Lepisosteus oculatus: one gene and its partner. The protein of the gene in region 1 purifies or fractionates together with the protein of each later gene. This does not show direct contact. Links are inferred from orthologs where the notes say so. Each region holds a gene or a part of one and is shown on either strand. Other genes may lie near its edges.

Region 1 (15,131 bases):
AGGTGTATTTATAGTCATTGCTGCTGGAATGCTGGAGGCATTATCTGTGTAGTGTTTCTGCAGCGATGTGGGGTGTGCACCCTGGCACCCAAGGCCCGCCCTGTAACAACACCTGCTGGCACGCAGGGGCTTCACAGGTTCACCTCCAGCTGTTAAGGTGGAGTCCTTTCTGCCCCCAGTGTGAGCCGTCACAGATGCTGTACAGTAGCAGTTTTTCTAAATCTCGTCTTGCGGTTCGTGAAAGCTCCGCACGTTATCTGCTTAGTGCTGCAGCCCGGAATCCTTACAGGAACTGTGTACTCCTCTCTCCTCTCTCATGTGACGCCATGCGTAGATGCAGTTGGGTGGGTCGTTTGAAGAGGCTCACGGTTCGGACCCCAGCTCTTTCTGTCTGCTTGCTTTGTGCTGAGGCATAGGAGAGCCCCAGTCCCAACAGTGATCTCCGCTCTGTGAAGGTCAAGCTGCACACAGGTTGAGGCTCCTAGGAGCTCCCAGACCACCCAGTCTTCAGGGACGCCCCACTAGTTGTGACTCACAGTGATATCGCTTACCTGCTGGTCACCCCTCTAATATCCATTTCCTCCTCTTCAACGGGCGAGATTCCTGGACGGGAGAGGTGGACGGTGGCTGACCTGGCACAGTCAGGGATGAAACTGCAGCTCCGTTTGATTAGCTTTTCCAGCTGAAATATTTATACTGTGTAAGTCCCCCACAGGGTCGGTAATTCTCTCTGCCAGGGGCCTCCTGCTGACTGCTTCCACAGAAAGAGCACTGCAATTAAAAACCCCAGACCAATCTCATCAAACGCTGTTCGCACAAAGGGTCCAGCACACACTGGCTCGTACAGTGGGTTTGTGCTGAATGCCATTCTGGGTTCAACAAACGCACCAACAGCTCCACACTCACGGGCCTAGCTCTCGTTGTTTAAGAAACAATAATCCCAGCCCGCTAAATAGCAGATCAGATGGAGAAGTGGTTTCATTTTAATTAAGGGGGAAATTCAGGAATTTGTTCATGTTGGAAGGACAGACTGGAAGTGGGGTTAACAACCTGCTTTTACGAACTGATCTTTAATGACCCCAGGAAGTGGCGACTGTCTCTCCTGAAGGTCAACACCTCCTACAGCACTCTGTCCCCAATCGCCAACTGCAAATTCCTTCGGGCCCAGAAAGAAAAGCGCCAACTACTGGTCCATTAGCACCTCCTGCAGCAGCAACCTGGTCTTGTGTAGTGGTCTCCTGTCTCGGTACTGACCTCGCCCAGCTCTGTTTCCAAGAGCTGACAAGATCAGGCTACAAAGTGGCATCGCTGCTGTTTGTTCATGAGAGCTGCCCAGTTTGGTAAAGCTCTTCTTCCCCATTATGTGAAACATTGTGAGACCTGGTCACTGTGGGGCTTCAACCAATTAAACCACAAAGCCAGCAAAACAACCTTCCCCCAGTAGACTTGTTAAAGAGATGCCCTTAGCAACCCGGTATATTTAGGTACAGAGCGCACGTCAGTGTAATAATGAACACGCCTGTAGTCTGATCTGTTTGTATAGAATCTGTTGCATTCGTCCAGCAAGATGTAAAGAGTTTGCTTCATTGCAGCGAGGGTGGGGATGGGAAGAGGGAGTTTTGGGGACTTGGAGTGGGACTGCTCCTTGAACGCTGGCTTTGTCTTCTTAGAAAGGAATGGGATTTTGCGCAGCTCTGGAAGTGTGGTTTGGCAGGCAGGGGGCTCTGATGTTGGCGCCTGTCAAGTACCCAAGGGCACGCAAAGCTGTGAATTGTAAAGCTTGTCCACTATTGAGGCTCTTACAGGTGTTTGGAACCAGACACAGAGGCCACAAGAGCACAGTGCAGACACAGTCATCCATACATCCCTGGCCTGCAGCTCACGAGAGCACAGGGCAGACACACTCATCCCTGGCCTGCAGCTCACAAGAGCACAGGGCAGACACGTTCATCCCTGGCCTGCAGCTCACAAGAGCACAGGGCAGACACGTTCATCCCTGGCCTGCAGTCACGAGAGCACAGGGCAGACACGTTCATCCCTGGCCTGCAGCTCACAAGAGCACAGGGCAGACACGTTCATCCCTGGTCTGCAGCTCACAAGAGCACAGGGCAGACACACTCATCCCTGGCCTGCAGCTCACAAGAGCACAGGGCAGACACGTTCATCCCTGGCCTGCAGCTCACAAGAGCACAGGGCAGACACGTTCATCCCTGGCCTGCAGCTCACAAGAGCACAGGGCAGACACGTTCATCCCTGGCCTGCAGCTCACAAGAGCACAGGGCAGACACGTTCATCCCTGGTCTGCAGCTCACAAGAGCACAGGGCAGACACGTTCATCCCTGGTCTGCAGCTCACAAGAGCACAGGGCAGACACGTTCATCCCTGGCCTGCAGCTCACAAGAGCACAGGGCAGACACGTTCATCCCTGGTCTGCAGCTCACAAGAGCACAGGGCAGACACGTTCATCCCTGGCCCGCAGCTCACAAGAGCACAGGGCAGACACGTTCATCCCTGGTCTGCAGCTCACAAGAGCACAGGGCAGACACGTTCATCCCTGGCCTGCAGCTCACAAGAGCACAGGGCAGACACGTTCATCCCTGGTCTGCAGCTCACAAGAGCACAGGGCAGACACGTTCATCCCTGGCCCGCAGCTCACAAGAGCACAGGGCAGACACGTTCATCCCTGGCCTGCAGCTCACGAGAGCACAGGGCAGACACGTTCATCCCTGGCCTGCAGCTCACAAGAGCACAGGGCAGACACGTTCATCCCTGGCCTGCAGCTCACAAGAGCACAGGGCAGACACGTTCATCCCTGGCCTGCAGCTCACAAGAGCACAGGGCAGACACGTTCATCCCTGGCCTGCAGCTCACAAGAGCACAGGGCAGACACACCCATCCCTGGCCTGCAGCTCACAAGAGCACATGGAAGACACACTCATCCCTGGCCTGCAGCTCACAAATATCAGCGCACGTGTGTTTGCGAAGGGCAGACAAGGACAGATGCCAGGGGTTTCTGTGAATAATGGTGGTGGTCAGATTCTGTGGTGCAGTGCCCATGCAGCACTTTTGAAGACGAGGCGGCGCAGCCTGTGGTTTTAACTCCCAGATGGCAACATTACTTTTCTGCCACTGAGGACAGAAACCTCATGTGCTTTGTCTTCTCCTAGTTTGGCCTGAAGCTACAGCTGAAAATATACTGTAGTTCATGCCCAGAGTGGGTTTCTTGTCAGCTTTTGTTGGTGACCTGTGCTTGGGGTCCTGCTTCTTACCACAGGTGCAGCACTCTGTTCTTAGCTCCGACACTTTACACAAAGAAGCCAGATCTTTTAGAGCAAGATCATGGTGCACCACAGCACCTGGGCAGAACGGCGCTATCACTGAGCCTGGCACCACTAATATATCGGATTTACAAATGAGCGGCGTTCACATCACAGATAATTTCTTCCTTCTGATGCTGTGCAAAGTAGGGGGGGGGTATCTGTGTTTTCTTGTAAGCCAGTCCTCTTCAGTAACGGCTCTGTGTAGCATTGTCTGCCTTGCAGATCCTCTGCCACATGAAACGGTACGGCACTCTTTGAATGTGCAGTGACTCTGATCCCCCAAGCCCCACCATCTGCTTGTGGAATCAATGGTATTTTAATTGCTCTGTGGTTCCTGCTTCGCTCTGATTAGAGCTTGCAGCCTGTGTCTCAGGGAGCCGTGATCAAGTCGCGGCTTTTACAACTCTGTGCCGTTCTGCCTCTGCCCTACTTAATCACCTCCTAACTTCAGGTAAAGAGCCGAAACTGGTCTGCGTCAGTCTCAGGGAGAAGACGCGTATTCAATACACAGGATGTGGCGAGATCTTTTTTTTTTTTTTACATGCATGTTCAGTGAAGGTGGTATTCATCCGCCTTGCGTCTCGGAATCTATCTATACATCTTGGAGAGGTTGTTGTGCTACACGGGTTTTGGGAAGGGTGTCGTCTTGTTTTCCTGTGCGAGAAACCTCAAGACGCGGTTTTAAAGGTCTCGGCGCGTGTGGCTGGCGCCGCTGTTACGGCACAGAACTGGATGAGAAATGTGAAGTTTGTTTTTCATGTTGGGTTTGCGATGTGGGGCGGTGGGAGTCTTGAATGAGCAGTGTCACCCGTGTGAGCGTGAATCTGTCACTCATCTGTCCAATCCCACAATCCCATGGAGCGGGCTTTGCCTCTTCAGTAGGCAGCATGCCTCTCCTTTACGGTACAAGTGTGCAAGTTCATTGTGTGTGCAGAGGTCAGGATGTCTAGGGAAACAAATGTGTTTTGTTTTTTTTTCCCTCATCGCCAACATGAAATCTGTTGTAGACGAATCTGGAGTATTTAAAAGCTTAGCAATCTCCCTTTCCCAGCCGCACTGAAAACACAGAATAAGTGGTCTGCGGATGGGTCACTCTACAGAGCCTTTGGAGAGAGTGGCTGTATATCTCCGGCAGGTCCGATTTGAGAAAGCACAGGCTTCCCGGCCCACTAGTGTCCTGCAGCTGTTGACGAGGGATTTGACCAGCCTCTGCAAGGTCACAGACATCTCGCGGGAATTTTCAGATGCTGCTAGGATGTCAAGTGCTTGATCCAGGAGTGCTGTGCGGCTTCTTAACGCAGTGTGTGTCTTTCTGCCCCTCTGTGCTCCCGACGGCAGGAAGGAGTTTGTGGAGGGCTGCAAGGCCATCAGGGCGGACAGCCTGGAGGGGATCCACGCGCGCTTCCCCTGCCTGCTGCGCGAGGCCCAGGCGGAGGAGCAGTTCAAGGACCTGTACCGCTTCACCTTCCAGTTCGGGCTGGACTCGGAGGAGGGCCAGCGGTCACTGCACCGCGACATCGCCATCGCGCTCTGGCGGCTGGTCTTCACCCAGAACACGCCCTGCATCCTGGAGCGCTGGCTGGACTTCCTGACGGAGAACCCGTCGGGCGTGAAGGGCATCTCCCGGGACACGTGGAACATGTTCCTCAACTTTACTCAGGTGATCGGGCCCGACCTCGGCAACTACAGCGAGGACGAGGCCTGGCCCAGCCTCTTCGACACCTTCGTGGAGTGGGAGATGGAGAGGAGGAGGAAGGAGGAGAGGAGGAGCGCAGCGGCGCTGGAGCAGCTGGACAGGGGGAGCGAGGGGGGGGGCGCCGACTGAGCCCGTCCGCCTGCAGGAGAGGGGAGAGGGGCCTAGTAAACTCTGGATCTCTGAAAACTCCGATGAAGATTAACGTTATTGTTCCTATTATTATTATTGTTGTTGTTGTTATTATTATTATTATTATTATTATTATTATTATTATGATTGTTTTTTTTTTCCTCTCTTTTATTTTCGAGGGACAGGGGTGGGGTTTTAATCTCTCCAGCACCTGCGTATGCCTTGTGTTTTTCGAAAGGGCTCCAAAAATACTGTATGGTTTTTTTCCCCCCAGGCACTTTTTTTAAAAAATTAATTTAATTTCTTTTTTTTAATGGGTTTGGTTTTAAAAAAAAAAAATCGGACACGCGCCGCCCCCAGCCCCCAATCCCCCCCCCCACCCCCACACTGGCTCCTCCGTCTCTCCCTCCCGGGTCACTCAGACCCCTCTCGCCGGCCCAGACTGACCAACGGACCGCCCAGCCTCCTGGCTCCCCTCCGCTCTCGCCCGTCCTGTTCCTCCTGTGTCCGTTCTGGAAAGGGTTTGGTATTCCGGTCACTACAGTGCCAGAGCTCGTGTGTTTTCGGGGGGGCGGGGGGGGGCAGTCCTGTACCTGGTGGTATAGTGCCGTTTACAACCCGCCACAGCGGCTCCCGTCTTCTGTTTTTTGGGTTTTGTTTCTTTTTTTTTTTAATATAAAAAAAAATGCAGTGGTTTATATTAAAAAAAAATAAAACAGTGTTAATCATTTAAAAGCCGTTCCTTGCATAATTAAAAACTGGACCCTGAAACGCCACCGGGCCTGTCCACGCCCCCCGTGTTTTTTTTAAACCTGCCGTGCTGTGAGCTGGGAAGGGGGGTCCCCAGACTTCCTGGCAAATCCCGGGGAGTGGGCTTCAGGCTGGGCACCGCCCTCGTGGCGGGACGGTTGTTCTAGGGATGCATGTCCCTTTTTTTGTCCGGATCGGGCCAAGCTGAGTGCTGGACCTTGTGCCGCGGGGTGGTGATATCTGGGCTCCTCTGAGCTTGTGGGGACCCAGTGTGAGGAAGTGGTTCACAAGGACAGCCCGGCCGCAGTGTGCTGGGGGTGAGCGGGTGTTCAGCAAGTGCGGAGGGGTGATGGCTGACTGCCTGTGTTTTCATGAGATGACTGTACTGTACACACAGTACCAGTACTCGTGCCCACTGTACGGACCGTGTGTGATCTTCATGGCCAGCTGGCCCTCTTCAGCACCTCCTGAACAGCCAGGAGAACCCAAGTGCACTGAGAGGATGGGCCCAGCCAGCACTGCTGCAAGTACACTTGGCCAGAGCTGTGTTGGTGCCCCGACTTCCCTGGCCTGCAGGGTGGCGGTACGGTCAGTGTGGGGGCGCCCCTTGCCAGCGGGGGGGAGCCCGTTGTCCTAGCTGCCTGCAGAGTGCGCCTGGACAGTCCGGGTGGGCAGCTTGGAGGGGTGGTCACTCTCCCCTGCACGTCCCTCACGTGTGGCCGCACAGGAAGAACCAGCGAAGGGGGCTGCGAACAGAGGCCCCTCGCTCCGTATGGTCCCCCGGGGAGCCTGCGTGTGTTCAGCGGTGCTCAGCTCCAGGGCCCCAGGGGAGCGCTCGGTGGGGAATTACCCAGCGCACAGCAGGAACGCCGCGGTGCTTCGGCACGTGACAACTGACAGACCGGAGGGCAGCAAGCCAACAGAAAAACACATCCGCACCGGAGAGGGATGGCCTATATATAGGGGGGCGGCTGTCAGAAGGCGAGTGCAGTTTGGTTTTAAATCATCTGGAGGCCAATGCCCATTTGCAGCAGTCATTAACAGCACAGTGTGCACTCCTGGAATGAGTGGCTGTGGCACTCTGGAGAGATCAGGGCAGGTGTGTGAGCCCCACACTTGTTTACTGCTGCGCCTGCCCATCTCCTGCGCTGCAGCTGTCTGGTGCCGGTTGAGCGGGCCGCGGGGACACACCTGCAGGAGGTTGTTTTTCTTCCTTCTGAGAAATGAAGGGGAACAAGCGCCGCGGTACACGTCACTGGCGCTAGTCCAGGTGAGCGCTCCAGTTCAGCACACCCGGTGACACCGTGTCCTTGCGTTTGGGTGGAAGAGTGTGAAAATGGCTGAACTGGGAGGTTAGGTCATGTTTGTTAGATGTCAAGTAATAAACCAAGGTTTAAATGAAGAGTTCTCCAATCCGCTTTGATAACCTGGATGGGTGTAACCTTGACTAACGGTTTGTTTCCATTTGCTCCTGCACAGCGCTGAAGAATCGGTACAGGTCCTCTCAGCAGCTTCATTAAACACCGAAGGAGGCTTCAGAGGCTCTACGGTACTTTCCCCTTGACTTGCACAGCGTTTGTAAGAGTGTATTTGCAGAAAAATAAATTAGCCAGTATCAAAAACTGAAATGCCATCAGTGTAGCCCAAGGAGGCTGGCTTTGGTGAAGGGCAGGGACACTAGCTGCTGAGGGACGAAGCACAGGAGAGGTGGGACCACCTTAAAGCCTCTTTATTCTGCTTTTGGATGTTATGTAACCCCACAAATTCTGTTTCCTGGTATCCCTAGATCATGCAAGACAAATTCCTGGATTATCGTGAGAGTAAATGGATTGGTATTTTGACAAACTGTAAGAGGATGTCAGTGCTGATACCCTCAGCTTCAACGCATGTTGTTTTGCACAAAATTGCCAACAAAAAAAGGCAACACAGATCTGTCAGTTTCACGTGTGCCATCATATGATAAGCCTTTAAAATAGGATCTAAAAACAGCTTCCACAGTTGTATAATTTTCATTAAGTCTCATGCTGTTAAATAACTTAAAAGTGCAGTAAAAATGCTTTCCAACAGTAAAATGACCAGAGCTGTCCACTTAAAGACATACAGTCTTAGTGGAAATTCTTTTTTTAGTACATGGTAATGTAATAAATCTATTTTGAGTTTTTTTTTATCTTGAGTATAAATATTCTAGAAATATCCGTTTTTCACAAGACTCACTGGAGGAGATTCTAGGATCAATCAACTATCTAGCAAGCAAATGAGCTAAATGCTCTGAATGGCCACCTGTTCTTGAGCTGTCTGGTCTGTTTTTCTGCAAGTAGGCTTGGTGTTCAACAGCCCCTGTTGTGCTGCGCAGTTGCCGATATTCGGGGGGGTCATCCTCTGGAGAAGAGATCTGATCGAGGGGAGCCCCCAATCCGGTTCCTCCTCCTCCTAGGGCACCTGATTTTAAAGATTCACCACACCTGTGGGTTATTGATGACTCAGGAAATCTAGTACTTGAGGATTAGTGAGTTCTTAGATTTTAGTATTGAATTATCTCTATTACAAATCACCTGTTTAATTGATCACTTTAGAATTGATAGATGTTTTTTCATCTCTTATCTTTCTTTAGTTCTTTTTATAATACTTCTTTTCCTCTTTTTTGTGTTTTTGTTTTTGCTCTGTAAAGCATCCCAAACTCTGCTTGGTATACATGGGCACTGGAATAAATCTGTGTCATTGTTCAAGGGAAATTGGAAATGGGTGATTTAACAGTGACCTACAAAACCTGCTGGTGTGGGGCTCCCCAGGACCAGTGTTGGCACCCCAGTGTTGTGGTTTACGCAGTAGAAGGATCTTGGATTTAAATTTTATGCCATTATAGGACATTAAACTTTCCAAGACCTTAATTGCTCAATTAACCCAGGAGCTGAGGACCACTTAAATAATTATGGATTATTAATGGCCAAGGGTCCAGGTGCCAAGTTGGACCATCACCTGTGACATGCCTATGGAAAACAGCTGAAGCAAAGGATAACTTCAAGAGTAACATGTCAACACACACTGTAACGGAAGTTAATGTACTGTCTGTACTGCCCTCTGGCGGCCAGTATTGAAACGGCAAGCAAAGTTTTGTTTTCTTAATTGGATTCTGCATGTTTCCAACATGCAGCTGGGAAGTGAAGATCCGAATTTGAACACATAACCTTCAAAAGTAATTAAGACAGAGCCCGATCCACCGTCGGCTCCAGATTTAAAATACTGCTGCTGATTTTTAATTCCCTGCCAGCGCACATGGCCTTATAATTTGCTGTAAAGGTGAAGTGTTGTGGGTCCCATCTCAGTGACGTCAGCCAGCGGTCTTCACCAAGGGGGCGTGGCGAATCCCGGGTCTCCCTGCAGACTCATTGGTCAGCGCGCCATTGCCAGGGGGCGGGGCGGAGTGGCGATTGGCTAGCGGCTCTCTTGGTTACCAGCATGACAACGCGGACGGGGCTGTGAACGCGTCCCCATTGAAAACACACTTGGAGTCTGTTATCACCTCGTCAAGGCGATGACATGGACTGTAAGTTTGATCTTTTACATTTGGACACGCCGATTTCTGCTCGATCTTTCTCGTTTCTGCGAGAAATGCGATCCGAGCACGAATGCAGACACCTGAGCGTGTGTGGTGTGTTTATAAGCTATGTGTAGCTAACGTTTTAAAGAAACAAAAACGCAGGTCAAAAACTGTATTTTAAAGTTCACTTCCGTCTTAATCGTCCACACGGCTCTATGTGTTAAAGTAGTTTGTTTCCTTAGACTACAGTTTTCGTTGTCGCTACACAGATTGGTGTAGGCCCTGGCTGTAGCCGCGGGGTGGAGTTGTCTTTCACTGCGGGTGAGGTGTCCGTCCGCCCGGGCGGGGCCGCAGAGGGAGAGGGCGGCAACACCGACGCCTTGCAGACCCGCAGATTGCGTTTTACATGTTGATTTTTTTTTCTTGTCTGGTCACTTACAGAGTCATGCGTTTAAAAATGTTTCTTTCTCTGTCTGATGTTTTAAACGAATCCAGGCAAATTCGACAGGGGCGGCGCCAGCCCGGCGGAGATGGAAGAGGTAATTTCTTGTGTGTTTTTTTTTGACAGCGAATACTTCAGCGTGAGTCGAGGTGGGCTTGCTCCACTCAAATAGCAGCGCTGTTAAAATAATGGGGGGTGGCGATGGGGGGGTCGATTATGCGACTACTGATGCTTATCGCTGCGCACGGGGTATTGATTTCAGTCGATCACAAATTATAGCTGGGGTCGCATCTCGTCGGAGAAGGGTATGGTGGCGTGGAATGACTGTCCTCCGACTGGACACTGGTCCAGCGAGCTAGGCCCAAGTATGGGCTCCAGGATGTACAGCCGGGGAGAGGGTGGTCTCTGCTGGTGACACACGCATGAATACTACGTGTCTGGCTGTCTTGTCATTTTTCTTGCTTGCTCTGTTTTCTGCTGCGTGCTATCTGATGTGCCTCTCTTCATGTTCCCTCTCCTCTCTCCTTCCCTGCTCCTCTGTCTTGCAGATGCTGTAGTTGCCTGTCAGGGATTGAGTAAGGGGGTCTCTCTTCTCCTGTTTGTCCTGTGTGATGTTCTGGTCCTTTCCTGGGCTGAGCTGGGCTAAGCTCCGAGGGGGGGAAATATTTGCCGTCTTTTTCATTTGTTTAGAAGGTCTTGCTTCACCCCATACGTGTGCTTTATACCCCACTAAGCAAAACGGTTGCTTCAGTGTAAATTTGAACACATTCTTCAACAGTTCCGTGGCATTAAATTGCACATTCTAGCCATTGAGCTCCTGCTCAGCGTCAGAGAGTATTGTCCCTTCTGCCAGGTGTAGCATTCCCCTTGTTTCTCATCTGTGAGGTCAGCAGTTCAGTCCTCTGCTGGTCGAGACTGCAGGGTGTTTGCATGACTCTCCTGGCGGTTGAAAGCAGTATCTTCCTGTCCTGCAGGTTTTCCACGTACAACAGTGAAGTCCGCATAAAATGCGTAAAACTGGCTGCTGGAATTTTTCCAAATACACCGCTTTTCAATATTCAAACACGCTCCAGCAGACTCAAATGGAGAGCAGTTTATCTGTTCTTTTCTGATTGTCAGTTTCTAAGAATATGCTTCTTGGAGAACTTTTGCATTTTACCCAGTACTTACGTTCCCTGCCATGCGCCGAGCTTGCCTGATTCCCCTGTTGTGTGTCCTGCGATGGCACGTTCTTGCTTTTGAAAATGTGTGTAGGAAAGGCCGAGCCATGCAGTAATCAGCACTGTTTTGCTTTCATTCGATGTGTTTGTGAAGAGCTGGCATGGAATCGAAGCGGGGAAGCACGCTGCCTCGGATATTGAAGAAAAACACGATGAATATTTAATCGCTCTTCAACACAGGAACAGGTGAGGCGTGACGGTTGTGCTGTGACTCTTTTGCCACCCAGTCTACTGTTACAGAGTCAGAGGGCGGCCGCTTGTCAAATACACCCCCAGCTGGCTGAGGTGACACCTCGGAGAGCCAGGCTCGCACACAAAATGTGGGGTGTCTGGGACAACCCCAGAAGAAAGCCGCCGTTGTCTACTCGAACAAATGTTTTCAACTTTACGGAATAACATTTCAGACATACTCATGAGACTTTATGTTCATTTTAAGATTTTGGAAAAACCTGAGCTGAAATCTCTCCTACAGTGCAGTGTAAAGCACACTGAGAATTCGTGCGGCAGCATGTGATTTCCCTTTGTGGGCCTGAATCTGTAGCGCTGGGTTGTCCCTTTCACCCGCCACTCCAGTCCAGCCGACTGCAGCCCTGTGGGGAAAGCAAGAGTCCCGTCTGTGACCAGCAGGTTTGCTCCTGCTCAGCAGTGCTGTGTTCCTGCCCGCCAGGATCCTGAAGCGCCTGAAGGCCAAGAACTCCAGGGAGATCGCGCTGGAGCGCTTGGAGCAGGGATTCTCCATTTATGTGAACGGCGCCAATTCCAGACCGACGGGGCAGCCGAAGAACCCGGCCCCCCCGCCCTGCACCCCGTCTGCCTCCAGAACGACACAAACGGCAGGTGAGCAGGGACGCCCACGTTTTCCTCTGCCCACTTGGGTTTTGTGCATTTCACTTTTATCATCTTCCTCAGTCATGCTCCGTGCTTTCAAAGCCTGGTATATGCCGCGCTTTTCCGATCGGCTGGGTCCGGGTGGGAGACCTTTCTCCGAAGGACACCTCTCCTGTACGGAGCCGGAAGAGCAAATCTGCAGCGGGTGCTTTGTCGTGGTTCCCCCAGATGCATCTCAGGGGCGTTTCCTCCTGGAGGACGACCTGCAGGATTCGGAAGTGACCCAGAGGCGGAGAAGCCAGACAGCTCCCGGGAAGGTCCAGAGGAAGGAATGGGTGCAGGTAGAGTATCCTGTCTGTGAAAAGGCTCGTATGGATACGTTGGATTAAGGTAGCACGGGCTCCTCTTGCTTGCCAGCCTGTCCCCTGTCCCGGGTGTATTCCTGCCTGCGCTGGTCCTGGGATAGGCTCCGGATTGCCCCAGCCTGTTCTTGGGATTAAGTGGCTTTCTGCCGACGGACGGGACTATTATTCCTTGAACCAGGTCCAGATGTCATTTTCCTATGGCTTGTTCCTGACTCGTGTGATGCCAAGGAATAAAGAACATTTGAATCTGAGACAGACGTCCCCTTGTATTCTTCTCTGCCTTTCTTCGTCTGTGAATTCAGAAGCCTGCGAGTGTGTTTAACGGTGAATCCAGTTAAGCGTAAAACCCTGTGTTTCGATGCACCATTCGTGTTTGTGCGCTGTCTTGTCGACATGCGTGCCGAGGTGTGATTTAGCATTCTTGATCATTCCACAGAATGACTTTGTTGGTGCGGAAAGACTGGTGTAATTTCAGCAGGAGAGTATCAACTTTACGTTTACAGTAAGCTCCTTCACAATAAGCCTTTGAGGAGCAAAGCAATGATCATTTTCAGCTGCTGACATGCTTCTGGGGGATAATTGCTTATCTGGCAGCTATTCATTACTGTGGCAGAGTAGGTGGAGCTGAAGGGAGCTCAATCAAATGTGTCCAGTGCTTTAGAAATTTCCAGGATACAATGTTTTCCCCGGCTTGTCTGTCATTGTTTGGCAACGCAGCCGAGTGTAAATTATCCTAATTGCATTGTCATGCTCGGAGAGAGGAGTCTCTTTGTCACTGCTGTCGGTCTCCACTGAATTGAGTTGTAGAGGGCGGGATTATCGGGCACGATGGGTTCTAAAAGCTGCTCGTTTCCCTCACAGAATTCCATCCACATTAAGACGGAGAAGGGATCCCGGATTCGGATCGGTCCTGGTCCCCGTTACTCTGATGATTTTGAGGCCTACGAGAGTGTGAACATGGAGGTACGGTCTGCCCTGTGAGGTCTGACATGTGAAGTGAGGCTTTATTGCACATCTGGGTATCTAAGACACAGTCCTGTAAGTTAGCCAGACCTTGGCTTTGGGCAGTAGTTAATAGAGGGACTGTCTCTGGATGCTGCATGACCCAGAGGTATGGGATGTCACTAAATGTTTACATGCAGTGCAGTGTCCTTTCCTCTCTGAATATTTTACAAAGTAATGAACGCTCCATTCTGCGCCAGGTGATGTATAGCATTTACATGAAAGGGGGAAGTAGACGGATGTATCTCCATACAGTACGTCTTCCTCCTCTGGCAATTGCAGTGTGTAAAGAAAATACAGGAGAGCACACTGGTGCTTCTTTGTGATCAGTTTGGTCATCTGCTTGGATTGCGTGATGGGACGCGTCTTGCGCTGTGTTTGGCGTGTAACCGGGTTTCCTCCTCCTCCTCCTCCTGTCCAGACGTCCGGTGCCCAGTCTCCACGGCGGGAGAGCTGGAACGTGCCCAGGGCCTTCAGCGCCAAGGCGGAGGCCCGGATGGGCAGGAGCGAGCCCGGATGCAGTGAGAAAGTCTTGCTCAACATCGATGAGGTCAAGGTCAGCACATCGCCTCCTGTGCCACTGGTGGATCCTACCTGTGACATTACTTTGAGCTCAGCTGTATTATCGGGGTTATCGCCGATGCCTCCAGTCTTTTCCTCAGGCTCGAGGAGTACCTTCTTGCTTGCTTCCACTGGATAGAGCTCTTCTGATTTTCTTAGCGTCTGTTCTCTTAGCTTTAGTAAATCACAGCGTGAAAAGCACACCAAATGTCTTTACGTCTTGCAGCTCATCAGCTCTGTGTATTACATGCCCGCCTGTATCAAGCCTCAGCGCCGCATTTCTTGATCCGGTGCCCAGCATGAAGGCCACTTAACACCTGCTCTACTTACAGTTCCCATTTGTCACAGATCTCATGTTGCAGAGCGAAGAGGCCATTCGGTCCATCCAGCCCATTTCGTTAGTAGCTAATTGATGCCAGGATCTCATCCAGCTATTTTATTGAAACTAACCAGGGTATCGGCTTCAACCACATGGCTGGGTAGCTTGTTCCACTCTCCCACCACCCTGTTTCGTCCTGTATCGGGCCAGGCCGGTTCAGGAGCGGGTTTGCTAAGTCTTGCCCCGTCGGTTCTGCGCCCCGCAGGTGCTGCGCCAGAGCCTGGAGGCGGGCGTGTGCGTGCGCCGGGGCAGCCGCGACTCGGCGGGGGAGGAGTCGGACGCCGGCGAGGAGGACTGGGTGGAGGAGCGGATCGAGGGGGAGGGGAGCTCGGCGCGGGTGGAGCAGGGGAGCGCGGCGGGGGGGAGCGTCCTGGAGCCCGGAGACCTCATAGTCCTCGACTTCGGGCCCTCGCCCTCAAGTACGTGTTCCAGGCCTGCGCCTTTGAGTCCGTGCTCCTCAAAATAGCATTGCACGGGAGGTGTTGTAAGGGCATGCTGCTGAAATCATGCTGCCCAGAGGACAGGCCAGGAGCTGACTTTGCCAGTCCCTTCCTGTCTAATTATGACACCCAATCCGTGTCTTTCAAGGGCAGCTTCCCCCTTGCCTTTGCAGGTACCAAAAAAGAGCGACTCCTGTCGGCGAAGAGGCGGGACAACATCGACGCGTACATCCCGACCAAGCCCCTGATGGTGAAGGGCAGAGCCTGCGACAGGCCTCCCCGCTCTCCGGCCCAGGATCCTGCGAGTAAGGGGCTCCTCCGCCTGGCTCTCTGTCAGAAGATCAGCTGTGTGTTCTCCCCAGGTGCTTGGGGAGCTCTCCTGTTAGTTTAGCACATGCAGAGCTACACACAGGGGAAGGACAGAGGCAGTGCGAGGCTGGGTGTGTTTGTTTTCTGTCCAT
Region 2 (15,624 bases), on another chromosome or scaffold:
CAACCAAGGAGCCCCTCAGAACAGAAGTGTGGAAAATGAGAATGTTTTTAATATCCTAGAGAAAAATTTGAAGTCAAAATAACTACGAATATGCAAGAATGTAAAGTAGCAAAACATCTCAACTGGCTAAAGAGAGGTTGGCGAGAACAAGTTTTTTAGCTCTCCTGCAATGTTTTTCCTTGTTTCAATCTAAAAGCTGTTTTCACTTGCGCCTCTGTTCACTTTCCCTGTCTGGCTCTGTAGAGAGCTCTCTTCCTTCTCTTTATTCTCAATTTTCCATCGCATCTTTTACATCATATATCGATAACCTTGAAGGGCTTCTTTGTTTTAAGGACAAATATGTTATGGGACTCATTTCTGAAGTATAGCCATCCATCTTCTGTTGACTGTATACGCCTTCATGCCCTCAGTTTGCTCTTTAAAAATGTAAAGTACATATCAAAATTGTGCCCACAGGTCACCTATGATTAAATTCAAAGGTTTTAACAAGAATGGAGAGAACTGTGATTTGTTTTGCAAAGTAATTATTTGAAACTTGTGGATTAAGTACACAGTTTACATCTCTGTAAGTCAGTGCAAGACACCTTATGAAATTATGCATTCATTTGGAATTTGAAAAAAAGTTTACTAGTTTTCTGTATTGGAGCTTCTTTTTTACATTTAATTTTAAACAAGATTCATTACGAAACCACTGCCTTACAGTATTCAGTATTTCTTGGCAAAATTAACATATTTCAGGTGAACCTAAGCTCTTCTTATTCTAGTTGCCTAATAGACAAGGTTTGCTTAAACTTCACAAATCAATGACAGTAAATGCAAGATCTATGTATCAAAGTAGATTAGTTCAGAAAACTAGTCAATAAAAAGCTAAAGGCGTTTCCACTTACTTCATCTTTCCTCTTGGAAACAACAGCAAAAACTTTGGTTTGATTGTCTGTGTCCTGGGACAGACGGTAATGACCGAGCAGGACAGATTCCATTCTGAAAAGAACAGAAGGACACTTAGTGTGCGGAAGGCCGGCAACACTTTTGCCACCGAAGAATCATCACACAAAGTATTTTCTAGATCGGGCAGGTGCGCTGCAGACGTAAGAGAAGTGGGATATGTTCTGAAACAAGTGAGTTATTAGTGTCTCTAATCCTCACTTATCAAACTCTTGTCAGGAAGTTCCCGTTTCCAGAAGAAATTTCAGAGAAACATGTCAAAGAAAAAAAGGCGTCTGCAGAATTTCATATATCCAGAATAACTTCAGGAACTCAATACTCAATACCCAGAACACCCAAAAACATGTTGAAGCAAAATAGGTAAACTAATAGTTTCAACACAAAATAAAGTTTACTTTTTATCCTGCTAGTCATTTAGAATACTTGTAGGATTAATACAAAGCTCTTCTCTTTAAATATATTTCCATACATTCAACACCTCAATTCTGCTAAAGCTAAAGCACCTAAAGCGCTGGTCTTAAATGCATTTTACCTGGTGTTTCTACTACGTAAACGAGGAACTATGCTGAGAGGATCCTCAGGTGTGGTGAGCATCATCACCTGTCCATCAGGGAAGAAGCGCAGGTACCTGTTCAGGAACAGTTACCAGCGTCAGGTCTTCCTCACAGTTTTAACCAGCTATGAAGACAGATGCAGTAAAGAAGAAGGTAACTCAGCTCTTTCACTCCTACACAAGCCTACCTGTAGTATTCCACCTGGTGCCAAGCCCTGTAGAATCCATCCAGGGATTCCTCTCCTTGGCGGATGTAAGTTGTTTTACTGATGTAGACACCTAGAAGGACACACGAAATTAAGGCCTTTGCATCTAGTTAGGTTTTGACCATCTATTATCAGAAAGTCATTTATTCAAAGCTACTTGTAGCCTATTGAAGAAGCACAGGATACGAGGTGATACTGATTCCCTGACCAGGCACTAGTCCAGCTGCTCTCAGTCCTGGTCCTGGTGAATTTCACTTACAGAATACAAACAAGTTTAAGAGCTCGGAGCAAACCACTCTTAAATCAACGAAGGGACTGACTGTGTAACTGAGGGCTCAGCTGGAATGAAAACCAGCAGGAGTGTGGGTCAACAGGACCAGGAATGGGAACCAATCACAGAACATGCACCGAAAGGACACCTAGATGAGCAAGCAATTCAGAGACCTTAGATAACTTTACTACAAGGTCTCTGGAAGATCTGAGGAAATGAGAGCACCCAAAGAAAATCCATAAGAAAATTGAAAGAACACGCAAACTCCACACAGTAGGTACCCCATTCCAATATCCAACCCAGGATCTGGGAGCTGTAGTTGTCATGCCATCCTGCCACTTGAGTTTTAACCAAGGAGATATCAACAGTGCCACAGACGCCTTTTCTTTTGCTCTGTGACATTTTGGCAAAGCTGCTGGGTTAATTCCTTGCTCCATCACCTTAACTTTCCTGTGTTCTACTTTGGTGAGGTATCTTAAGTGAATTATTGCACATTTGTTACATCATGTACACTCAGCCACTATAGGACAAAGAAAAATGGATTTTTGAAATATGATTGAATCAATCATCTGCTTTCAGATCCATGTTAAAATATGAACTCCCACTACATTACCATCAAACCGCACACGGGGCCTCTCCAAAAACATCTCTCTCCAGGAGTTAAATGGATTAGTTTTGGTGCAGTTCCGTCCCCAAACCCGAAAACAGGCTGAACGCCAGATTTCCGGGTCCCTGAAAAAGTACAGATTAAAAATATATTTTCTAAAGCGACCGGCATCTGTTACCATGAACACTAAAGCAGAAAACATCCGAGTGAGTGGCAAAGCATTTACTTTGCTTTCACTGTTCTTAAAGTGCACCAGATCCCCTCTATTTCCATCTTCCTATCCACACTGCTTGATAACACCTCTTATCACTGATTTTAGACATTGACGCAGAAGTGGTTGACAAGATTTGCAAAGCTTATACCTGGCACAAATGTAAAAGCCACGGCACACGAGCGCCAGCTGTTCGAGTGCCCTGAGGTCGAGGTCACTGGACACTACCCAGCGGAAAATGTACATCAGAACCTCCAACGGCAGAGCTGGTGACAGAACCAGTGGGATCATCAATCAACTGCACAGGACCACACAGCCTCCTAGTAACTTACACAAACACCAATTACATCAAAACACGTAAAACAAACACTTATCGTTTATTTTAAGGTGCTCCTTAAAAGTGCTCTAATCGTGTTTCATACATGTGTAACAGACTGTGAAAACATTCCACAGTACTGATAAAGTATTACAGTTATTAAAGTGTAGAAAAATGGGCATACTTTCATGCAGCTCTTGAGAAGCCTCCTTTACGTCATAGTATATTAAATATGCACAAAACGTCCATATTAATACACCATTATATTTACTTGAATTTCCATTCATAAATCAGTTTCTTTAATACTGTCTTTTCACTTTTCTGCTACATTGAACTGATTGACATGCAGTGCAGAATGGAAACAGAATTCCTAAGTTTTTGTGATCAGATACTCATGGAATAGGTGATGATTTACCTGAAATGTGCATCTGACTTATATCAGTTTCTGGCTGACAGATCTTCAGAGATGAATCCTGCAAAGTGAGCTGCTGCTGGAAATAGGTCAGCAGATCAGCTACCTCACCATCACTTTCATTCTCGTCCATGCTGCAAACCACAAAACAAATACGGAAATCATTGGGGAAAAAAAAGTTTTAGCTTCTGCTAAAAGAGAATGTTATTGATGTTATTTGGGATATATTTTGCAGTGTATTTTTCATGGCACTTGATAAAAATTGGATATTTAAAGGGTTAGTGCTAACCCAATTTTAACAGCAAGTGGTTAACCATTTTGTTCAGTTTGCCAATTTTAAGTAACTGGTTATTTTAAGGGGAACTGCAATGCTATTTTTATATTTCAGGGTTACAAAGAAACCACAATAAAATTAAAACGCACACAGTAACTTCTAAAACCTCCATGTTCTGCGACTCAGAAAGAGGCAACAAAACTTCCAGTGACATGATGCGGCCTTATTACATTGTAAACATGTGAATTCATCTCTTTTAATCCATTAAAAATATTGCTCTCGACTTAAAGACGTTTTTTTTCCGAAAAAAGGAACCTACTTGTTAACTCTGCATGCAGACCACATTGAACACTTCTGTGGTTAAATATCTGCTGCACAACCTGTACTTAAGTCGCTCGTACTTCGCATCACACTAGTCAGTACAGTGACTAGCGAGCAGGAAGGGCTGAGGTGCTTTGCAATTCGTGGGAACTCTCGCTCTCGCACGTGACGAGACCAGGGCTTTGTGACAACACGTAAACTTACAGTACTTTCACAAAGTTCATTGTGTTTAATTCAAAGTTTGTCATTTTTTTTAATAACGGCAATTAATTTATTTTGGTATCAAGATTTAATAACCAATTAAATATCAGACCGCAGTTCCCCTTTAAGTGATACCACCAGCACACTTCATCACTAGGTATTTTCTTACATCAGTACTGATCAATAGTTCCACCTTAACTGCATTTCTATAAAGGTAGAGACTACTCTTTATTTACAACATTTGTAACATTCAATATATTTGTCCCAGATCTTCATATAGTATGAATCTGTGTATCCTTCATATCCCACAGCCCAGCCATTAAAACATACTAAGTTTGACATCATTTTAAATACTAATGCTCCTAAAAACTTTTATAATGTAATGACAGTAGTATATTTCAGATAATTATTAGTTATGTTGATTTTTTAGCATTTGCAATGACAGAAACCATCAACGATTACAACTTTACAATTACTCCACCAGAGACAGCCTTTCAATATGCCTTTAATAACTGATAAATTCACATACTAGTTTACACCAACTCCATCGGGATCTGGAGACCGCGTGTAGTTGATTTTAAACTCAATGTCAGGCACAAGCTGCATTGCTCTTCGATAGTACTTGATAGCTGAAACCACAAGATTTTACACATGGTTAAATAACACCCATTTAACATGTTTAAACAATCTTGATTCTACAGATTTCACAAGTAATATGTGAGAAAATACAGGATATCAAATGTTGATGACCATGCTAAAGACCCTCAGACAGCTGTGTCTCTGACTGGTGTAACATTACTTGTGATGTCTGTCTCTCGGTAGCAAATCTCATTTAGAAAACTCCCATCCATCCACCACCAGAAAGCTGTTTTTTCTTGTCACAGTGTCACAGCAACCCCGAAGCCTGTCCCAGAAGCATAGGGCACAAAGCAGGCCTGCACCCTGGGCGGGAGGCTCCGGGAGAAAGCCTGTAACAGAGGGAGGACATGCAAACTCCACTCAAAAGGGGTCCCAATCCAGAAACAAACCCTGGGCCCAAGAGCTGTAAGGCAGCAGCACTTACTAAAGCACTAAATGCCACCGTGGTGCCCATTTAGAAAACTGCACTGCTTAACTCACCTTCATAAACAGCTCCATTCTGCTCCTCCTCTACTGCTTTCAGGAACAGTTCTCTGGCCTGAGAAAGGGCACATAATCAACATACATTATCACACACGTTATATTATGTACACGTTATTTGGTCACTGGTAAACAACTGCTTACCAGTGACCAAAGCAAAACTATTTGGTCCAGTAAGTGGACTGGGAACTTGCTGTACACTAGGCTGCCGATGTTATGCCAGCTTGCCGCTGCCTGAGGAGAAAGGGATTCATCTGCGAGACACAGTGAAAGGGATGGAAGGGCTGTCTGGTTCAGAGCGGTGATGGGGGACCGACGGGACCCACAGGACAGCCTGGTGGCGTCCTGGTGCGCACTCAGAAAACAGGGTGGGCGGGATCAGGATCATGCCAGTTGTGGACTGGGACAGGCACCGCTTAAGGCAGGCAGAGAAGTAAACTGCCTTTCCTACGCAAAACAGGAACTCTTAGTGCGATGAGCATCACCAGACCAACAGCTGCTCAATAGCAGAGCACCAGGAAAGTGGCAAGCTGAGGTTTAAATATCTGGTCGAGATGGCTGAGAGAGGGTGGACTCCAGCCCCTCGTGTAAATGGGATTGGTTCCTGGGGAAACCAAGGACAGGGAGGGCTGAATAACACCTGACCCGCCCGGGCATAACGGGCAAATAATAAAATCATATTATATATCACATAAAATAAATTCACGGCCCGCTGGACCATGCCAGCGGCTGGGTTAATGCTTCCTCAATCAGGAGCTCATACAGTACAGCATGCACACACACTTTTTCAGCAAGCCAAACCGCTTTGATTTGCTTTTACCTTTTCCTCTCGGGCCATCTCCTGTTTCCGTTTCAGATCCGCGGAGCGTGACAGCGGACCCCTGTTAGCACCACTGGAGCCGGCGGGAGGCATCAGCTCGGACATCCACTGTGCCCGGAAGGCGCTGAGCTCCACCTGCGGACACCAGACACCGGGGGGTCGACTTCTATACCACACCGTCACCCTTAGTGCCACCTGACCGGGCCACGCTCTGTGACGAGTCGCCGTCCACATTTCATTCCACATCCCTGTAAGTCAGTCTTCTTGACTTTTCTATCTGAGGTTCTAAGTATTTTTTACAGGTGACAACCCAAGAAGTACAAGCAGGTGCCTCGAGATCTCCAGAAGGACTCTGCAGTGCCATCCGTGTCCAACGCTCACCACGAAGTGGAAGCTCACACCGCAAACACCACATTCAAAAGCTCTACACGATGAGCTAGAAGTATATGTGAAATTCAAGAGTTGCTTTGGAGTAGTAGGTGAGTTATTTGATTCTTAATTGTGGAAAACTTGAGCTTTGCTCATTTGTTGGAAAATCCTGTGTCAGTTCAGGGCTATAAGACATCAAGCCTTGAAGCCAATATTAGATTTTGATCTGTCTCAAACACAACATTTCCAGCTTCATAGTGGAATTCCAAACGAATGTTGTTTAGTTCTATGTTTGGGATAATTTATTGAATATTTGCCTGTATTACAGACTGTACTGAAGCAAGATCAAAAAGACCCACAACAGCACCACTTTCTGAACCACTAATGAATCTTTCTTACACCAGTTCCTAATAAAGAATGCGTGCCCGAACACTGAGGAATTTCAAGAACCACATGACATAAAAAATGAGATGGTACTAACCTGAAGGTCAGAATCACCTGACTCTTCATTTTCTTCCACTTTTACAGTACCCGCAGAGTTGATTTCACCCTCTGCCTGTTGAAATGAAGACACGTGAGCTTGCAAACATGCAATGTGTTACAGGTATACATGTTAGTCTGGGCATCCCAGGGGGAGGATAGAGAATACACAGACCTCAGCTGAAGGTCCCTTGAGCCTCACAACAAGCCCTGCAGTATAACAGTCGGGCCTACTCTCCAGGTGGCTGTTTTAAAGGAGAAACAGCTTCCAAATCACATATTTGGTTGAACAAAGAGTATATATATTTTCATTGATTGCGACTGTACATGTATTTCCTAGAATATCACATCAATAATCCATATCTAACAGAGTACCAAGGTTTGTCAACAGCACAGAAAACAAACCTAATGCACGACCTGTTAATAAGACACTTGCAAATTAAATATACACCGATTTCACTGCTGATGGACTTTTTCTTGTTTTTTTTAAATGCAATGCAGCAATTAAGTAATTTTTGTTGTAATTACGTGCAAAGTTACTCATCTAATAGTCGAGTTTAAACGAACTATCCTTAAGAGACGTCTGACATAATAAGCACTTTCACTCTGATAAGCATCTTAACTGTTATAATAAAGTATATCTGCTTTCCCAGTTTCTACTTTGTACTGGTTTCGGTCGTATTTTAGTATTTATAATTGCTAGTAAATTAAGAAACAGTATTGTCAAATTCGAACAAGATATTTGTAGGTGCTCGCTTGTTTAAGCTTACTTTCCCCGCATTAAATGAGCGAGTTTGCTGAAACTCGAATCTGCAAGTTGTAAATAGTATTGATTGGAAAGCATGAAAACCGTTTACGTTTCACCTGTTTCAAAGTTTCAACGAATATATTCTGCTTCCTCATACTTTTGTAACAAGATTCAGTAGCGTAAACAGTAAGCAGACATGTCCGGCAGTTTATCAGTATCTGGTAGCTCAGATAAGGACGTTTATACTTGGACTTGCAAGTGGGAAACATGCAGACGTTAGATAATGTAGTTACACAAACAACTACTTTGTATAACTTCACTGTAAGTACGAACTCAATTCCGCATTCACTTCAAAACGAGACATATATGGCGTGGAAATAACCAACAACATTGGCAGAAGGCGCACCTTTGCAGAAACTGGCGTACGAGGCTGACCAGTGTTACTTTTTATAGTTACCCGAGATGTAAATAACACCAGGTGACTGACACACCGCCTAGGTACACGTCATGCAGAGCCACCAGTTGGTTTATGATTTACACTTGAGCCGCAGCAACGACCCCGGTTGTATTATTTACCATTGCGTGATATAGCCGTGAGCGTCTCCTGTCGGTCCCTTCCTCCTCTCTTTCAGCGGGCTCAGTCTAGTACAGTTCTCGGTCGGAGAAGCGGACGACGCAGCGGGCGAAATTGCGAGCTCTCCACATTGCAGCCATGTCGGACGGTCGCTGGCGGGGCTCGGCGCAGCTCCGCAGGGGAAGGGCGCCTCCGCGGAAGCGTACGGGACGGCGAGCCGGCGCGGACACGCAGAGCCGAGCGCGACGCGAAGCGGCCCGCAGCCCGCTCGACAGAGCGCCGGGGGACGCGTGGGGTCTGCGCGGTGCACAATGTGATCGCGTCTGGCGTAGTAAACCCTAAAACCCTGAAAAAAGAAAATGAATGTCTCTCTTCGCCTCTAGACGCTGTGAGAAAGCGATTAAAGAAGACCATATGTTAGGATATATAAAGGCAGAATTTAAATCAAGGAAAGTTATGTTAATACCTAATTTAGAATATTATATACCGTCTTGGACATGTATACAATTCGTTCAGGTGTGGTTCAGGTTTAGTTCAATGCTCACACCTGAAGAAGGCTCCACGGCCGAAACGTTGTGTTTTCTTTAATCTCTTTTCAGCATGGAATAAAACAATTACTTGTTCTTTCGCATTTATATATATACCACAAGTCATATAAGTGCTAAGAATCGGCTCAGAGAATAACCAGTGTGGACACCCGGGTGAGGCGAGCTCTTGAGAAGGGTCAAGACTGTGACTGTGCCCTGGGGAGGGTTCCTGTTTGCGCCCAAGACAGCTGGTCTGCTACTGCAGCCTGTGAGTTTACACACCCGTGGCTTTTATCACAGAGAAATAAAACAGATTGCAGGATGCCATGTTCCTGGTCCTGATGTGCTTGTGTTTGAAAGACGTCTGTGAGCGTCCTGTGTGGAGCCGTGGACATGTGTGAGTGTTGGTGACTGTGTGCCCTGCACTGACTGGGTGTACCCTGCTTTGCACAATTTACATGCCAGGTTAGGCTCCAGCTCCACGGTGACCTTGTATTCAATAAAGCTATTAAAAATGGATGGATGATTGCTTTATTTCTTTGACTGTTTTCAAGTTGTGCCCGTCCTTACTGCTGTACTCCAGACCCTTACGGTAATATTACCTGAATTCTCCTTTCCCTTCCCCCTTTTTATTCCTTACCGCAAAGCGCTGTGAGAGGCCACTTTCTAAGGGCGCTTTAAAAAATACGGTTTACTATAATTTCATATACTGTACGATCATGTTTATTAAAATACGAACATGAAGCTAACAATAAGGCTAGGGGTTTGGTTTTGTACCGGTCTGGAACAACAAAGGGTCCCTTAACGTTTTCCCCCCCGTGTGCATGTGCTTTTTTTTGGGGGGGGGGGCCGGTGTTCAGGGATATTTCGCCCCCCTTTATTTTTTTCCTTGGCAGAGAGGTTTGTGCCGGAGAAACGGCAGGGCTGATGGAGCAGGCGGACGGGCAGGCGGGCAGGCGGCGCTGCGGCTCCGCCCTCCGCCGCTGGGAGCCCGGGCGCCATGTTTGCTTGACGCCCGAAGACCAGGGGTTTGTCTGGGTGTGTTGGTGCTCACCGGCGTGTAAGCAGATGTCAGTGCGCTGCGTTGTTGAAACTCTGCAGGTAGGTGCTACTCGTTGCAAACGAAGGGGGCCTGCCCCGTTTCCGTTAGCGTTGGAGAAGGTCCAGTGATATAATGCAGGACTCGGTCCAGACACACAGAAGTGTGCAAACTTTGTCCCGATGCAATTTGGGGGGCGAAGGATAAATCAGGGCTCACCGATCTGATGATCAAACGCATGGCTCCGTGTGAGTCCAAACATAATAAGAAAAGAGATTTCGCTCTGTTTCCTGGAGTCGAAACAAAAGCTTTTTTTTTATACAGCAGATGTAATAATGGAAATAACGGGGATAAAAAAATCATTGCGTTGTGATATCTGTCCGCCTGTTGATAATCCCGCTGTTCTTTTCTTTCTTGTATTTTTGGCCTTTTCTGTTGATACCCTTGTTATATCTGTAAAGCAGGGGTGTGCGTTTCTGTTCCTCAACTCTGTTATCTGAAATGTTGGCATTTGCCAACAAGGAAATACAGTAGGTGCAGCCGAGTTAATGAGTTATTTTAAGACATGTTGGGGTTGTTTGTTTTTTACTGCAAGAACATCACTGGCTTGCTTTAAACGGAAAAGTCTGGAGAAGTGTTACTATACAGAATTCAACTACCCCTACACCAACTCGAGATTTGGGAAATTCGCCCGGACAGTTGTGGTGTCTTTGCAGATAATCACACCACGTACAGTGCCATGTTCAGTGTTCAGGGGCTACAGACCATTCTCATGGGCGAATACCGGTACAGTTTTATACGGATGCCAAGTGATAGATGGTTCAATACTGGGGAGTTGTAAATAATGAGCAGATGCAGAATGAAAATGGGAAGAAATGCAGCCCCCCCCCCCGTTCGTGGGCTACAGCTCAATAGCACGGTCAGTTTTTATTAGAGACCAGCCGTAAAGAGTATCCCTTCTATCGTTTTGCTCATTCGGACATCTTTTCCCATGCTAGTGTTAAACATGAATGAATGGTTCCGAGATATCTGAGGCTTACAGGCTGTTTCCAGCTGTGGTGCTGGCGTGCACTGTGACACTGTTAAAGAGAGATGTGGGACCCAGGGCTGTTCTATTACTGACCCCAGAAACCTCAGTATGTTGCCACTTTCCAGCTAGATTTAGTACAGAAGCTTGTTTCTGTATCTCTGTAGACTTTGCAATAAAGAGTAACCTGGATAGTATCAGTGTGTCCTACAGAGAATAGTGTGCAAATGTGTGTGCTGAAGACACTGTGAAAATATTGTCTCCGACAGAATCAAGCACTGAATATCATGCAACTGATTTTCCTGAATTGCTAATACATCTTTTTTCTAACTTGATTGTGAGGACACATTCTTCAGCATTAGCAAGGCGGGGAGAAGCAGTCTGTATTGTTCATTATGTTGCAGAAAATTCCTTAGGAGTAACATTAGCATTTTGCATTCCAGAAAACATTGCATTAAACAAGACATGATTTCCTGGGAGAAATACAAAAAAAGATCAACATTGCCTGTACTGGCGGAATCGGGGTATTTCTGTTATTGGTCTGATGGTTATCTTGGATATTTTCCTTGGGTTTAGTCATTGATCATGAAGGTGTTGAGCTGTAGTTTTGTTTGCTGATAAGTGTTAGAAATGCGTACTTGTACAGTTCTCTGTTAGGTCTGGTTTTATAACCAGATTTAAAAATAACATAATATATTCTAGATCGGAGCCTGAAAACATTTGGTATCGCTTCAAGGAGGCTCCAGAACCATCTGCTTGCCTTATCTCTGGGCTACCATCACTGAAACATGAGAGCGTGGTTTTAGTACTGTGAGAGAGTATGTAATAGTATGTTACATAGTAGTATAGAGTTTGTATGTAATAAATGAACCAGAGTATTACTTTAGACTTGATATTACAGTAACTTACTTGTTAGTCATTATTATTAAGCTTTGTAGCACTTGAGTATAAATGTGAACTGTCACCATTTGTGTCAGTTTGGAGGGTGTTTGTTAGAAATATTGAAATATATTGTGAAGATTTAACTGTACTTTTATTTAAGAGAATAAACCCCATTTTTGATCGTGCTTGTCAAGTCTTTTGTCCTGTCTGTGCCTGTTTCGTCTCTGCAGGTCCAGGACAGCCTGTGAAAATATGAGTTCTGCAGTCCTGTGTGCAGCCCGGCCTGTTGTCCACTGCTGTTGTCACAGAAAGATCTGGCTGCACTCAACAGGAGGGAGCCGAGCACCCTCCATGAAGCAGACCCCCGTCTCCTGGGCGATGCTGACAGAGCCATGAATAGATACGCGACCCTCAAGCAGCTGGGAGACGGGACCTATGGGTCCGTTCTTCTGGGAAGGAGTCTGGAGTCGGGAGAACTGGTTGCTATTAAAAAGTAAGCAAGCAAGGTTTCTATAAAGATTCTTTCCTCTCCCTGGAAATAGTGTCAACAGTAAAACGGGACATTTTAACCCAGTCACATTTTTATTGAAATGTCACCTCATTTAAAGGGCGTAATTGTGACTTTAAAGGGTTTGCTATTTTTGCTTCACTCATACCCTTTCTGCAAACAGCTGTTCTGTATTTTATTTTTTCATAACGCTGGCAAGTGCTGATTTTATCTGGCAGTAAGTGAAGTGAGTGCCCTGCCCTGATTTAATTGATGTTTCCTGAGCTGGTAAAATGTTTTTGACGAAGGCAAGTTCAGTGTTTTGAAGATCCTATATACTGTATATAAGTCTTTGTTGAGGGCCGTTGCACTCATCCAGTGCTCAGTGGTCTATTACAGTGTGTAATATACTGAGATTAAGCTGTTGTTCCCTCATAGACTGCTACATCTTAATCAGGATGAGTCCGGAAGAGGAACAAGTATGACAGATAAAGTATTTATACAGAAAACAGAATTTAAATAAGAATTGAGCATGAAGGAAATAATACAAAAAAAATACTTATTGGAATGTGACCCCTTTAATTTTGCCCTTGTTGTAGATGAGCCTTGAGGGGTGGATGCTTCATGCAAAATAATAAATGTGAAGTTTGGGATAAAATGAGTGTCACCACATTTCCAGTGAAATTTTGAAATGGAGCCCCCCCTTACCTGAATCACCTGACTGCATTCTGCACCCGTCTCTGGGCAATAGGTCTGGATAAATCATCGCTGTCCACTCAGGAGCGTGTGTCTGAGCTAACAGCTGGGAGTACAGGACTGGCTAAATGGGTTTTGCAGCAACTACAGAGCCACTGTATTTGCATTCAGATTAGAATAGGGCATCAGCTCTTTCAGAATTTGAATTGGTCAGATACCACAAATGTCATATAAAGGGAGAAATCATTTTTAACTGTGCAAGGCTGACAGACGTTTATCACAAAGTGAGCCTCGTATTACAAGCCTTTGTCTTAAAGAATACGGGGGGCCTTCAGGTTACATATCCAACATGTTGCATGATGTTTATTGCCATTTTGGCCTTTCATGAATAGGTTCTTGTGATCACATGATTTACATACGAGGTCTGTCTTAGATTTAGAAGCAGCTCCGTATCTGGGCTGATGTGTTCCAGTGTTTGTTCTCACCCATGCGTGTAACATGCACACTTGTAAAAGTTCTAAAATCTTTGCATGAAAACCTGTCCTAGGCAGTTTAGGAATAAAATAATCAAAAGGTGTGAAAGGAATAATTGATTTAATAGTTAAGCAAGTTTACCGTTTGTAATCTGTTCTGAGCTCATAGTTTGTAACTACATTTCCTGCTGTTGCTCAGAGTGCATTTTGTAAATTCAGTACCTTTCGCAGTAAACATCTTCTTTTTAGTTATTGAAGTTTGCAGAATGTATGTGTACAGGGAGTGAAAGTATATTCTTCCAAAGACCATGCATACAGGTGTGATGTTTTTCATGCTGTCATTATGTCAACTTTAATCTGTCCCCTAGAATGAAAAGGAAGTTCTATTCCTGGGAAGAATGCATGAACCTGCGAGAGGTTAAGGTAACGTGTCAGCCTTCTTTTTTCTCGTCTCAATAAAATGTCCTCGTTGCAAGCAAGGTTGAATACTTCTGCTGGGAGAACTGTAAATTGTGAGAACGGTCCATTCTGGCACAAAGCAGTGTGTAAATGTCTGAGTGATCCACAACATGAATGTTCCAGTGGTGGTGAAAGTGTTAGGTAAAATTCAGAAAGTGAAATTCTTCATTCTTTGTTGTAATAGGTCCGTTATCAGATTTTGTTGAACTTAAAAACATTGGCACTAAACATATGGCAGCTAAGGCACAGTGTTAAGTGGGGAAAAAACCAGATACTAGGTCATAAATGTAGAATGTCTAATGTATGTGCTTTTTTTCTTTCAATTCTGAATGCTCCATTTAAATGTCACCACATCCCAGAAACCAGCACAGAGAATACGGTAGATATCTGATGTGAACCCTTAGCTCTACTTGTCTTGCTGGGTCCTCTTTTCCCACGGGGTGAATCTACTCCGTAGACGGTGCCCCCCCCTTTGAGTCCTGCTGCGGTGGGGGGCGTGGGGGGGGGTTTAGGGATGCCTGTTCAGTGGGAGCTGCTGCAGTGCAGTTGGGTGTTTCCTACCCAGCATGCCTTCCTGTCTCCTCATCTCTCTGCAGCCCGTGTGACTTCACCTCCCCGTGTCATGGCATGTCTGCGATAAAGCTCATCAGCGCTCGGGTGCATGGGAAATCCTCCTGATCGCGGAGCCACTTGGCGTACCTTCTTCCTGTCAAACCCCCCCCCCCCCCCCATCTTTCAGTTCTGCATGGTTGCATTTTTAATTTTGTAAGACGTTGGCATTCCGTTGGCTCGGTTCGGAAATAAATTGCAAGTTCGAGTGAGCAGTCAGAACGTGACAAAGAGCTGTATTCATAGGCATGTGATTGTGAACCTCCCACCCTCCCCTCCCCCCAGTGCATAACCCCTGTGCTGTGGCGACTTGTGAAGGGGTCCAACAGTGTGCCTGTGTGTTGACGTCGGCTCCGTAGGCAGTAATGTTCTGGTACGAATCAAGATGTTCCAGAAGATCTTCTGCGTGCCTAGTTTTGTTTATTATTGTGGTCAAAAAGCAACGCACACCTAGTTCAGGTTTAGTACTAATGGTTCATCCAAGTGCCATATTATTTGTAAATTTAACCTTACATTTTATGCAGCCCATGTAAACCTGAAACTAAAAAGGCTTTTATATTTTCTCTGTAGTCCCTGAAGAAACTGAATCATGCTAATGTAGTCAAACTGAAGGAAGTCATCAGAGAAAATGACCAACTCTACTTTGTGTTTGAGTATATGAAGGAAAACCTTTACCAGTTGATGAAAGACAGGTATTTTGATCAAGATTTTCCTTTACTGTCCCTTGATGTCCTGAACGTAAAAATTGTTTTTACTGTATTTATATTGTATTTTTGTATTTATTTAGCTTTTGATGAGTATAACGTTTTTTCAACTAATAGATATTTTGATGTCACTATAGTCAATATAATATAAATCACAAATTTAATCCAGCGATTGTATTGAATGTAGAATTGTTAGCACAAAGAATGCGTTAAGCCTTTGGACATATCCCTGTTTCCGCATTTTCAAGTAAGGATATAATTTTATTAATTATAATAAATATAGTTTACATACTG

Evidence for each region.
Region 2: the proteins of katnip (region 1) and cilk1 purify together in Homo sapiens (affinity purification with mass spectrometry; 3 studies listed by BioGRID and IntAct, with this or other methods). This does not show direct contact. The link is inferred for Lepisosteus oculatus from reciprocal best matches to the Homo sapiens genes KATNIP and CILK1.

The regions. Positions count from the first base shown.
Region 1 is NC_090714.1:16,332,183-16,347,313, reverse strand, and holds the start of katnip (katanin-interacting protein), read left to right. Parts: upstream 1-8,776; 5' UTR 8,777-9,432; coding exon 9,433-9,439; intron 9,440-9,458; exon of another isoform or gene 9,459-9,754; intron 9,755-9,928; coding exon 9,929-9,972; intron 9,973-11,189; coding exon 11,190-11,281; intron 11,282-11,762; coding exon 11,763-11,932; intron 11,933-12,151; coding exon 12,152-12,264; intron 12,265-13,149; coding exon 13,150-13,251; intron 13,252-13,711; coding exon 13,712-13,846; intron 13,847-14,435; coding exon 14,436-14,649; intron 14,650-14,843; coding exon 14,844-14,975; intron 14,976-15,131. Other genes in the region: dcun1d3 (DCN1-like protein 3), read left to right, coding at 4,659-5,145. UniProt on the Homo sapiens protein: May influence the stability of microtubules (MT), possibly through interaction with the MT-severing katanin complex.
Region 2 is NC_090712.1:19,307,939-19,323,562, reverse strand, and holds the start of cilk1 (serine/threonine-protein kinase ICK), read left to right. Parts: upstream 1-9,874; 5' UTR 9,875-10,055; intron 10,056-12,132; 5' UTR 12,133-12,294; coding exon 12,295-12,395; intron 12,396-13,926; coding exon 13,927-13,981; intron 13,982-14,376; exon of another isoform or gene 14,377-14,396; intron 14,397-15,196; coding exon 15,197-15,318; intron 15,319-15,624. Other genes in the region: fbxo9 (F-box only protein 9), read right to left, coding at 888-981, 1,478-1,573, 1,687-1,777, 2,589-2,707, 2,945-3,059, 3,525-3,655, 4,847-4,946, 5,437-5,494 and 3 more.